3 linked regions of the Drosophila melanogaster genome follow. The protein of the gene in region 3 interacts with the protein of the main gene of each other region in a pairwise test. Each region holds a gene or a part of one and is shown on either strand. Other genes may lie near its edges. The genes, in order: Hsp67Bc, msb1l and Dlc90F.

Region 1 (3,480 bases), on a different chromosome or scaffold from region 3:
TGCAGAGCGGCGCAAAAGTAAACAAAACATTTTTTTGAGGTTACAGTGCCAGCTGGAGATGGGCAACATGCAATATGTCACGGGTTTTTATTATTCAGATTATAATCCCAAACAAAATAAATTAGTTTATAATGTACTCCATCTGCTAAATAACTTTAAAAATAATATATATACTTTGTGTAATTAAATGTTAGTTTCTTTTATTAAATTTATCGTTGACTTACCACTTGTTAAAAACTGTTACTTCGATAGATAGTTTTGGAAAGATGACTAAAAGCTATCGATAATTACACTTATGGCGGGCTTTCATTTCAAAGTTCAAAAGTTCACTCAATCGCACCTGGGAAAAGGCTAACCAAAGCTTTTTTAAGTAGGATTGACATCCGGGGACCTATTTTTAATATGCACAGCTTTTAATACCTGTCTAATCGAACAAAGGAAAGTTAATATTGTACCCAAAATTGGATTTCGTGCTTTTTGATATGAATTAAGCTCTTAAATATTAGTAAAAGTCTTTTGATTACTGAGACATTCATATTCCTTTATTAATACTGGATTTCGATTAGTCTTAAAATTTGATTGGACTGTTTAAAATGTAGCTAATAATAAATTAATAAATATAATACGATTTGTGCGATATTTTCTTGACTTTTTTTTTGGTGCAACGATAAACGAGAGTCTTGGGAAATCACTTGGCTGCTTAGGCTGCAATCTTTAGGAGGGGGCTCTTCACTTGGCTTCTGGCTCTGAAGCAGAAGCTGCCGGACCGGCCTCCTTATGACCGTTTCCATTCTGGAAGAGATCCGATGGACCCACATGCTTAATGGGTATGATGCGCTCCTTGAGCTCCTCCTTGGAAACTAATGGTGGAACCGTGATATTGAGAACTCCATCCTCCGACAAAGTGGAAACAATGGCATCCGAATCGAACTCCTTGGGCAGCGGATAGCGGCGAACAAAATGCCGGGATACATGTCCATGATCGTCCTCGCGCTCCTCGTGTTTTCCCTCGACCACAATGCACTCGTTGACCAGTTTGACGGTCAGTTCACCTGGCTGAAAGAGTCCCACATCCAGATGGACCTCGAAATTGCCCTGCTTATTTGAGGCTCCACCGCGGCTCAATGCAGCCAGCTCTCCGTTCCTTTTATTGGCCACCAGGTGATGGGCATGTGCACCCATCCGGGCAATCAGACCCAGGGTGTGCAAATCAAGATCATGATGCTGCCGCGAATGCAATCGCCTGTACATGCGATTCGGGAACATATCGTGGCCGTAGTACATGGAGTCCGGGGAGTCCAAATTCAAGACAAAGGGAATATCTGGCATTTTACTTTTCTTTGCTTAACTTCTTTGTGTATCTGGCGGAAGGAGGTTCGTTGAACCGACGACCTGTTTTCCTTTCAAAAAGTATCCAAGGGGTTGATTTGCCAGCGGGTGGTGGAATCCACAATCTCAGCTGCAGTTTGGCGCACAATTCACCTTGACTTTTCCGACTCGAATGTGGAGTTTAACGGTTTGTCTGCGCCCTTTTATAGAGACGGAAGAGCTTTGCCCATTGCCACAGAGCTTTTCTGGAGCAGCAACTCGTTGTTTCGTTGATTCTAGGGAGACAACTGGGAACCTTCTGGGGGCCAAGCTTTCGTAGACTGTAAACTGTTATATGTGATCCGCCATAAGGTATGTATGTATGTATAAAATGAGTGCAGATAGCAAGCTCTGTATTGGAGATCATACCATAAGATTTTAATTTCAAATTCAAAGTGAAATCGGATACAGATGAGAGGCGCAATCTCCAGTGTCAGCTGGACAAACAAGACGACACCACGATAATCAAAATGCGATAAGCAAGTACGCACATACATATGTACATACCCGAATCTTTAATCTTGAACCTCATAAATGGATCATCTGCGCCCAGCTGGCAAGTCAGTTGTTATTCAGCTGGCGAACCGGTTGAAATTCGTGCTCCGCCCCATAACTACAATGGCCACGTACGAACAGGTTAAGGATGTGCCCAACCATCCGGATGTGTATCTTATCGACGTTCGACGGAAGGAAGAGCTCCAGCAGACGGGCTTCATTCCAGCCAGCATCAATATACCCTGTAATAAACTACTTTCCCTAGTATTTGCTTTATTACTATGTGTTTTATTACTATTTATTTACTTAGTGGATGAACTGGACAAGGCTCTAAATCTGGATGGATCTGCTTTTAAAAACAAGTACGGAAGATCGAAGCCGGAGAAGCAGTCGCCAATCATATTCACCTGCCGGTCGGGAAATCGAGTCTTGGAAGCAGAGAAAATTGCCAAAAGTCAGGGATACAGCAAGTGAGTTTTAAAATTGTATTATAGTTGCAATAGTTTATATCGGATACATATATGTATGCTCATTTTAGTGTGGTGATCTACAAAGGCTCCTGGAATGAATGGGCTCAAAAGGAGGGACTTTGACGATAAACGTCGCTATATTTCTGAATAAATGAAGATTAATATTAATTAATTAATTAATTATTAATAGCTAAAAAAAACAGAAAACTTTAATTATTTGTTAATATTAAGCTGTATTTTTCATATATCTCAAGTTCTTGACTACACCCATGGCAAGCTTATCAATACACACACGTATACACTCGCACTCAGAAAGCTGTGCACTCCCACAAAACTTTCTCTCTCCCACTCTCTAATGGAGCTCTCTCAATCTGTCTCTCTGCGTATGGAAACTGACCTTCCCCAAGGCGCAACAGCGAGAGAGAACTTCGCTAAATGCTAAAATAAAAGGTAAATAAAGTAATATTTGGACACCCAGAGAGCCCCAGAAACTTCCACGGAGTTCGCTAAAGAACAGTGAACAACCCCTAACTAAATGCCATTGCCCGATTTCAGGCAAAGTGGAAAATTGCATCAGCAAAGGGCGAAGAAAATTCGAGAGAGTGCCGGTATTTTCTAGATTATATGGATTTCCTCTCTGCCAAGAGTATAAATAGCCACCGGTTGGACACTGCGCTCTCAGTTCAAAAAAACCAAACCAACTGCTAACAACTCGAAGAAAGTCAACTAAATTAAAATTTCGCCAGCTAAATAGAAATTTCATAGGATTGAAACTTCAGACAACAAGATTATCTTCGAAACATAGAGGAAAAATTTAAAAAAAAGCCAAGAAGTATTTCAAAGACAACAATTGGACGGAATTTCATCAAATTATTCGAATTTGCATAAGAAGCTTTTGTTGGAAAAACCAAGTTACCTTATTAACTACAATGCGTTCCTTACCGATGTTTTGGCGCATGGCCGAGGAGATGGCACGGATGCCACGCCTCTCCTCGCCCTTTCACGCCTTCTTCCACGAGCCGCCCGTTTGGAGTGTGGCGCTACCGAGGAACTGGCAGCAGATTGCCCGCTGGCAGGAGCAGGAGTTCGCTCCGCCGGCCACCGTCAACAAGGATGGCTACAAACTCACCCTGGACGTCAAGGACTA
Region 2 (3,753 bases), on a different chromosome or scaffold from region 3:
CGGCTACTTCTGCCGCGTGGCCATGGAGGAGGCGCTGAGTCGCCAGCAGACGCCCTACATTCTGGTCAGCGATGTGCGGCGCAAGAACGACATCAGGTGGTTCCGGGAGACTTACGGGCCGGAACGAGTCATCACCTTGCGTCTAACATCCCGTCCAGAAACGCGGTCTGCACGGGGATGGACCTTTACCGCAGGAATAGACGATGTTCCCTCCGAGTGCGATCTGGATGATCTGGCCGACGGCTTCGACGTGGTGTTGGCCAACGACGAGGAACTCGACCAGGAGGCCATCGACATTCTGCTGGATAGGCTGCAGCTGCAGTATCGATAGAGCTTGGACCTCTCGGCTCACCATGCTTTGAACAAATGTATTTTTGATATATCACGTATTCCGGTCACAAATAGCGTAGTTAATGCAATACACTAGACAAGAATGAAGTTACGTACCTAATAGTAAATACTCTTGGTAACGAAATAGAGCTTGTGTGGCGGTTTTACTAACTTGCAACGTTTAAGACTTAATAGATTCAATGGATATACAAACTATATGTCGCTGATTATCGGTAATAGGTTACTTCAGGAATAAATAGCCCGGTTTCCAAATGTTAGAATAATACTCATGAGCAAACTGCATCCATCAATTTATGTGCACAATGTACTGGCAAGCAAACTAATAAAATGATTTATTAAAAGATGAGTAATAAAAGTATGTGTCGTGAGAAAAGACTATGATTTGGTGGGTTTTGATGGACATAAGGCAATAGTAGCTACTAAGCTGTGTTAGTAAACGGGTCCGCTGAATCCCTCTGTGCCAGAGATTATCCGCAGTTGATCGTTGAAGCTCTGCGCGGGCGGAATCTGATTCTTCTTAGAATCCTTTTCCATTGAACGGGATCGCAGATGCGGCTTATTCTTAACGCAACTGAGTGGAGTTCGCTTTTGTGCGGACAGGGGGGTACTGTTTGTCTTGGGCGTAATGGATCCTCCGGTCACCGGGGACCCCTCCTCTTGGTCAACATAGATCTTTGGCTTGTTGGCTCTGGCGGGCTTGCGCGGTGGCACACGACGCTTGTGACCCAAACGCACTCGCTCCAAATGTTTGTTCGACGGCACTTCTGGTAGCTGCTCCTCGCCAGCGACAAAGGAGGCCATGCTGCTGCCAGTGCTGAGATTCAGGGTCAGTGTTTCCAGGATGTGCTCCAGCATCTGGGCCTCGCGTGCCTCCTCCTCCTCGTCGTCGCAGAAGATGATGGGTGTGCGATCGACGCCCAGGCTGGGCGATCGGGGATCACCATGGGGCTGCTGTTCTGGCGGGGGCGTGGCCATTTTCACCTGGCCCTGCTCCAGATTCGGCTCCTGATACGGCAGCAGCTGTTGCTCGCAAGGCAAGGTTTCTTCCTGATCATAGGGCAGTGAAACAATCTCCAGGGAAATATTGTTGTGTGCAGCAGACGGCGGTGTGCCGAAGCTATCGCAGCTCTCCTCTAAATCCACTTGGGGCGGTGATGCAGGCACTGCTCTCTGTGCTGTACCCACCCTGGTGTCCACGAAGAGATCGGCGAATGTGTCATCCATATTAAGCGAACGAACCTCATCGAGGACCAGTGGAGTGCGATTCAGCTGAGGAGAGCGAGGATCGTTCAGGGAGAAGCCCTTGAGCAAACGTTTTCGCAGCATGGAGAAGGCATTTTCACTGGTGGTCACATGCTGCTCCTCCTCCTCAACGCGAGGTTTTGACGCCTGCAAGAACTACAACGCAGCCATCATTACTAGGGTTAGTAATATCAAAAAATACCTAATGCCTATAAACTCACGGTTAAAGGCGTGCGGCAGCCATTTGGTGATCGAGGATCGAGCAAAGCGTTGTTTTGCTCTCGATTCGGCGTCGTCATTTCCATTTGTTCTCGCTTTTCGCTGGCCAGGCGCATTTTGTTTAGTGTCGGCGTATCCGGCAGATATTCACCTTCCATTTTTGTTGCCTTTGCTCCCATTTTAATCAAATAATCTGACTTATTTTGCGACTTCTCACTAAATGTTGCGGGGTAAAATAAAATCGTTGCCGCGCATTTGTTTTGAAATGGCGTCGTGTGGAGTTGCCGGATCAGGAAATGCCAACTGGTAACAGTATTGTTAACGTCAGTCTAGCTATTTTCAAGCCAATTCTAGCAGTGATTACAAATGGATTTTATCACTAGTTCTTTCATTATTACTAATAACTAACTAATCGTTACAAATATAAATAGAAATTAAACAACGTTTGGGATATTTAGAACTTAAGTCTGTAATGTTTAGGTGGATTCTTCTTGTTTTACTCCTCTCAAATAAATTTATGAATTGATTTTTATTTATAGTACATAAGAAAATGTAAAATTCAGTAAACAAATAAACTAATATTAAAGTTATCAGATATTTTTTTTAATTTCGCTTTACAGCACTGATTTTTATGCTGCCTCGCGATAGTGTCATCTCCCTCCAGCTAAAGTCTGGCAACACTTGTTCATTTAAGACGCGACACAACGAATTGTACTCTTTCAGTTTTTCAAAAAGAAAATGGCATGAAAACAGGCCAAAAAAGTGCGACAAACGAAGAGCTAAATCCCAAAGTAAGTGGTAAAGTAAGTGATAAACATCCAAATGAAAGCAACCCAAATGCATACATAAATGCGCGAGTGTGTGTGCTAAATTATAACAGTAGTGACTGTGTACCTTCACGGAAAAAGGGAAATGAAGACAGGAAACTGGGTTTTTTTACTCCAGATGACTATTTTTATTGAATTTACGCAGTTGCTGTACTAAATAGGCGAGTGTTTTTGTGTATGTGTGTGTGGGCGCCGCAAGCAGCAGTAAATTCTCCTGTGTGTATATGTGTTTTTTTTTTCTATGGCCGTCTCCTTTTTACACACACTAGCGCACAATACAGCTGCGCCTTGTTTTTTGCCGACATTTTTTCTGCTTAGTTTTATTTATTTTATTTCAATTAGGCAGACAAATTATTTTGCTCGCTTTGTGGAGCCATCAATGTGGGTTAGTAAGCTAAAGTGCTGCGTAAAATTGCGCTATTGTTTTATTTGCCAATTGTAGCGCAAAAAGTAAGCAAATTGTATACACACAAACGCCAGAGCGCATGTCGTGCAGACTTTCTCTCTTGCTCCAAATTGCGAGTGTATGCATCTGCGTTCGTGTGCGTGTGAGTACTGAAAACAACCGAATTTCATTCATTGCTCATTTCCGAGAAAAACTACACGCTACACTCGTCGCCATCTGCAATTGCACCTCTGTGTGCGTAAGTCACTGTATCACAAGTACATTATATGAACTATGTATATAGGAGCCGCTGCAGTTGTGCAACATGTTAATTGATTCCAGGGGCTGCTGGGCGTGGCAGGTGCAAAAGCCCCTTCCACCTGGCTTCTATTTACAGAAACTTCTTCCCACTTCCAGAGTTCAACATTCTTGCTCTTCCCGTCGCTTGACCGCGTTTTTCAAACATTCCACGAGCGGTCTTAGCACACTCACACCGGCACGCTATGTGTGTATACATACGTATGTACGTATATTGATTTCAATCAACTTTGAAGCGCGCTCTGGCCTTCTCCTTCGCTCATTCGGCGGTGTGCTATGCTCTGCCTGTCTCTCTCGTGCTCATCTGTCAATTGAGCACCACGTCCGTTTGTCGGCTCATCAGCAATTTACACAGACACACACTTCACCGCGCTGCATCCGTGTGGGTAAATTCCATTTCCTGTTTATAAT
Region 3 (3,325 bases):
GCTTTATTGCTTGGCATTTCATAAGATTGCACTTCTCTAAAAGATTGTGTAATATATATATATATATATGTATATATACATTGCGTGATATACATTTCCTGTTTTTGTCATATGAAGATTGCTCTGCGAAGGGTTTTTATCACTGGGCACTGGCGTAGAGAAAAAGGGTGCTGGAATAGCATATGTTATATGGTTATGGCTACCATGTGAGGATCGCCCGAAAGTCAGTCAGCTGGAAAGTGAGGTAAGCGCGCAAATGCACCACCTGCTGCGTCCGAAAGTGACAAAACGAAAACGAAACTCCTTCGGTTTTCTATTTTATTAATGGGTAAAGAAGAAGCTTCGTGCAGAGTTACACAGAGAGAAAAACTGCAAATGTATGACTCGTAAAAAAAGTGTATTTAGTGACCAATGGTGACCATTTGAAGCGGTATTTATGTAGGCAGCTGTTCTCTAATAATTCCAGTTATTCGTTAAATGCAATGACAGTGTTTTTCGTGTGCTGGCGATTATGCAGTCAAAACAGAAAATGGGTTTCCCATCCCATCCATAAATGTCACTGTACTCCCCGCTTATCGCTTGAGGCTTGAGTAAACAGTCGGAACAAACGTAGCATATCGGTTTATGCAATACTTTTTGAATTGTACAATAACTATTGTGCAGTCGCCAAGTTTCCCCTTTTGCCTTATACTTGCAGTCAGCCGGGCAAACATTTAATTAATTAACAAATGCGACCTTGACTGGAATTTCAATTAAGTAAGTAGCTTGAGCAAAACTTTGATGAGAATGGTGGAGTGATGTTACATATGTATGTATGTTTGCAAAAGCAAGCAGTTGTCAGGGTGATGTTGTGGTTAAATATCAATTGCGGGTAACTAACCTTTTGGTGATTTCCGATTCGTTCCGATCCGATTCGTTTCGATTCAAAAAAAAAAAACCGATCCGCAAAGTTGGTTTAGTGGTTTTTTTTTGTCTTTGCCTTTTTGGTTCGCAGAGGGTGGACCAAAACAGTTAAAAGTTAAAGAGAGTGACTAATGCCGCACGCACACAGTCGCACTCAATTTGTTGTCATACACACACAGAGAGACAAGCGCACACTCGCGGGCATCAACTTTGCACTCTTCTCACCCCCTCTCGCTCGTTCACTCGCATTCAAGGTGGTTAACGAGAGGTGAGCCAACAAAAACAACAACAGCAGCAGCCGCGGAGCGCACTCACACACACGCGCTAAATAGCTGAACAGCAGCTGCAAAAGTAGTAGCACGTATCCGCAGAGACAAAAACGAAGAAAGCAGGAGATGGAGAAGGAAGTGCGCCTGCAGCTGCGACAATTATCACCCGATTATTTCGCAGCGTGTATTGCGAAATGTGCGCCTTCGATTTGCTAAATACTTTTGCTTAATTATACGCACGCACACACACACCAAGGCACTTTCCCATAACGAATTTAATTCAATTCAACGACGTGCTGCACGAATCGCTTTCAGCTGTGCATTTAATAGCGATATTTGTCGGCCTTGATATGCGTCGATGTTTTTCAATGGTGTCGCAGAAGAGTTATGGAATAATTTAATTATTTTTCGTTTTTATTGCGCCGCGAACGCGTCCGTTATGTTGATTCTGCCAGAGTGACCGTGGCTTGCAGTCGAAATAATCCAGCGATTAAAAGTTTAATTTTCCCGCGGTTTTCAGCACTGTTTTCTATCGATTAATTTAAATGCTTAGATGTGTTTCCACTGGCATCATGGTTATAATAGGTTTTAACTTGTTTGGTTCCTTTTGAAAGTACTTAATCTAATTATACTCTCCTTGACTAATTGCTTTGGAAAATGTTGATAGCGAAACCTTTGTTTTTAATAAAAGACAACTGTTTCTTCTCTTGAAATCTCTAGTGTGAAGATGCTGAAATGACCCACGATGTAACCGTTTCTCCGGTTAAATTGCAACACAGTCTGACCAGATCAAGGTGCCCAAGAAAATACTTCCAAATTAAAAGCAAACTTTGCTTTCCGCATCCCTTAGAAAAATAGAATCCCGATATATATTATTTGGACTGCTCGAACGCCGCCGACGAGCCCAAAAACGCGCGCACATTTACAACGACAACAATACAAACTTGAGCTCAGTACGTAAACTTTTTTGACCAGCTGCCGTTAGAAGCAAATCAAAGCTGCGACGATGGATGACTCACGCGAAGAAAGCCAGTTCATTGTGGACGACGTGAGCAAGACGATTAAAGAGGCCATCGAGACGACCATCGGCGGTAACGCCTACCAGCACGACAAGGTGAACAACTGGACCGGCCAGGTGGTGGAGAACTGCCTGACGGTGCTCACCAAGGAGCAGAAGCCCTACAAGTACATTGTGACCGCCATGATCATGCAAAAGAACGGTGCTGGACTCCACACCGCCAGCTCCTGCTACTGGAACAACGACACCGACGGATCGTGCACAGTACGCTGGGAGAACAAGACCATGTACTGCATCGTTTCGGTCTTCGGACTGGCCGTCTAGAGTGGAGGAATGGCAGGACTGCCGGAATTCGCGATGAAGATGACTTAAAAGGGGGAGGGACTAACAAGATTGCCGTCGTACACCAGCACACACCAACAACACAAATACCATACTTTTTTGATCGGCCATCCATCCTGCTGTAATAACAAAATTTATTATGGAGCACTTGAAAACCTTGTCGTCACTTCCAAGCAATTAGCAAGCAACTATTCCGTTGCCAGTGTACTCGCCTAATGTTATTCTTGATTTTCAATCTAAAAACGTAAATAAAAAGTGTATAATACCGTAGCATAATAAGTTAATCATTGCAAACTGTTTTCAATGGGTCATCATTTTTTGGGTCGTGGGAATATTTTTCGTTTCCATGGCAGCAATTGGCCATTGGTCTAAAATCGATTTAAATTCCCAGGCATTTGTTAAAATTAAACTTTAATGGTCTTTCTCTTATTTCTTTATTTATTTTAGTTTATCAAAACCTTCTATCGTTTAGAATAATAATATTCCTTCTGGCATTGCCCAAAATAACAAAATCAGAAGTACCTGGATGCAATAAATGTAATTGGCGCGCCAGGGTTTGTTAAATCGATGGCGGGCGCGGTGTCCTTGAAGATACTCCTACTTCTTGCGCTGGAAGCGACGGCCCGACTTTAGAGCCGGAACCTTGCTGGGCAGGCGCAGGCTAAGGATGTCCGAATTGGATTTTGGCAGAGCGTTCACAATGTGGGCGTACTGCTTGATCCGAGCCTTGGTGGTGGCCAAAGCACGGGAGAGGACATTGATGTCCACTTCGAACTTCTCACTGAGGAGCAGG

The links.
Region 1: the proteins of Dlc90F (region 3) and Hsp67Bc interact in a two-hybrid assay, tested with the Drosophila melanogaster proteins (2 studies listed by BioGRID).
Region 2: the proteins of Dlc90F (region 3) and msb1l interact in a two-hybrid assay, tested with the Drosophila melanogaster proteins (2 studies listed by BioGRID).

The regions. Positions count from the first base shown.
Region 1 is NT_037436.4:9,370,989-9,374,468, forward strand, and holds Hsp67Bc (heat shock gene 67Bc), read right to left. Parts: upstream 1,510-3,480; 5' UTR 1,330-1,509; coding exon 730-1,329; 3' UTR 523-729; downstream 1-522. Other genes in the region: Fdx1 (ferredoxin 1), read right to left, coding at 1-30; CG4456 (uncharacterized protein), read left to right, coding at 1,987-2,107, 2,174-2,333, 2,402-2,456; Hsp22 (heat shock protein 22), read left to right, coding at 3,263-3,480.
Region 2 is NT_033779.5:19,576,036-19,579,788, reverse strand, and holds msb1l (msb1l), read right to left. Parts: upstream 2,089-3,753; 5' UTR 1,992-2,088; coding exon 1,815-1,991; intron 1,750-1,814; coding exon 781-1,749; 3' UTR 658-780; downstream 1-657. Other genes in the region: Pmvk (phosphomevalonate kinase), read left to right, coding at 1-331.
Region 3 is NT_033777.3:18,297,244-18,300,568, forward strand, and holds Dlc90F (dynein light chain 90F), read left to right. Parts: upstream 1-1,985; 5' UTR 1,986-2,178; coding exon 2,179-2,514; 3' UTR 2,515-2,801; downstream 2,802-3,325. Other genes in the region: Polr1E (RNA polymerase I subunit E), read right to left, coding at 3,130-3,325. UniProt on the Drosophila melanogaster protein: Acts as one of several non-catalytic accessory components of the cytoplasmic dynein complex that are thought to be involved in linking dynein to cargos and to adapter proteins that regulate dynein function.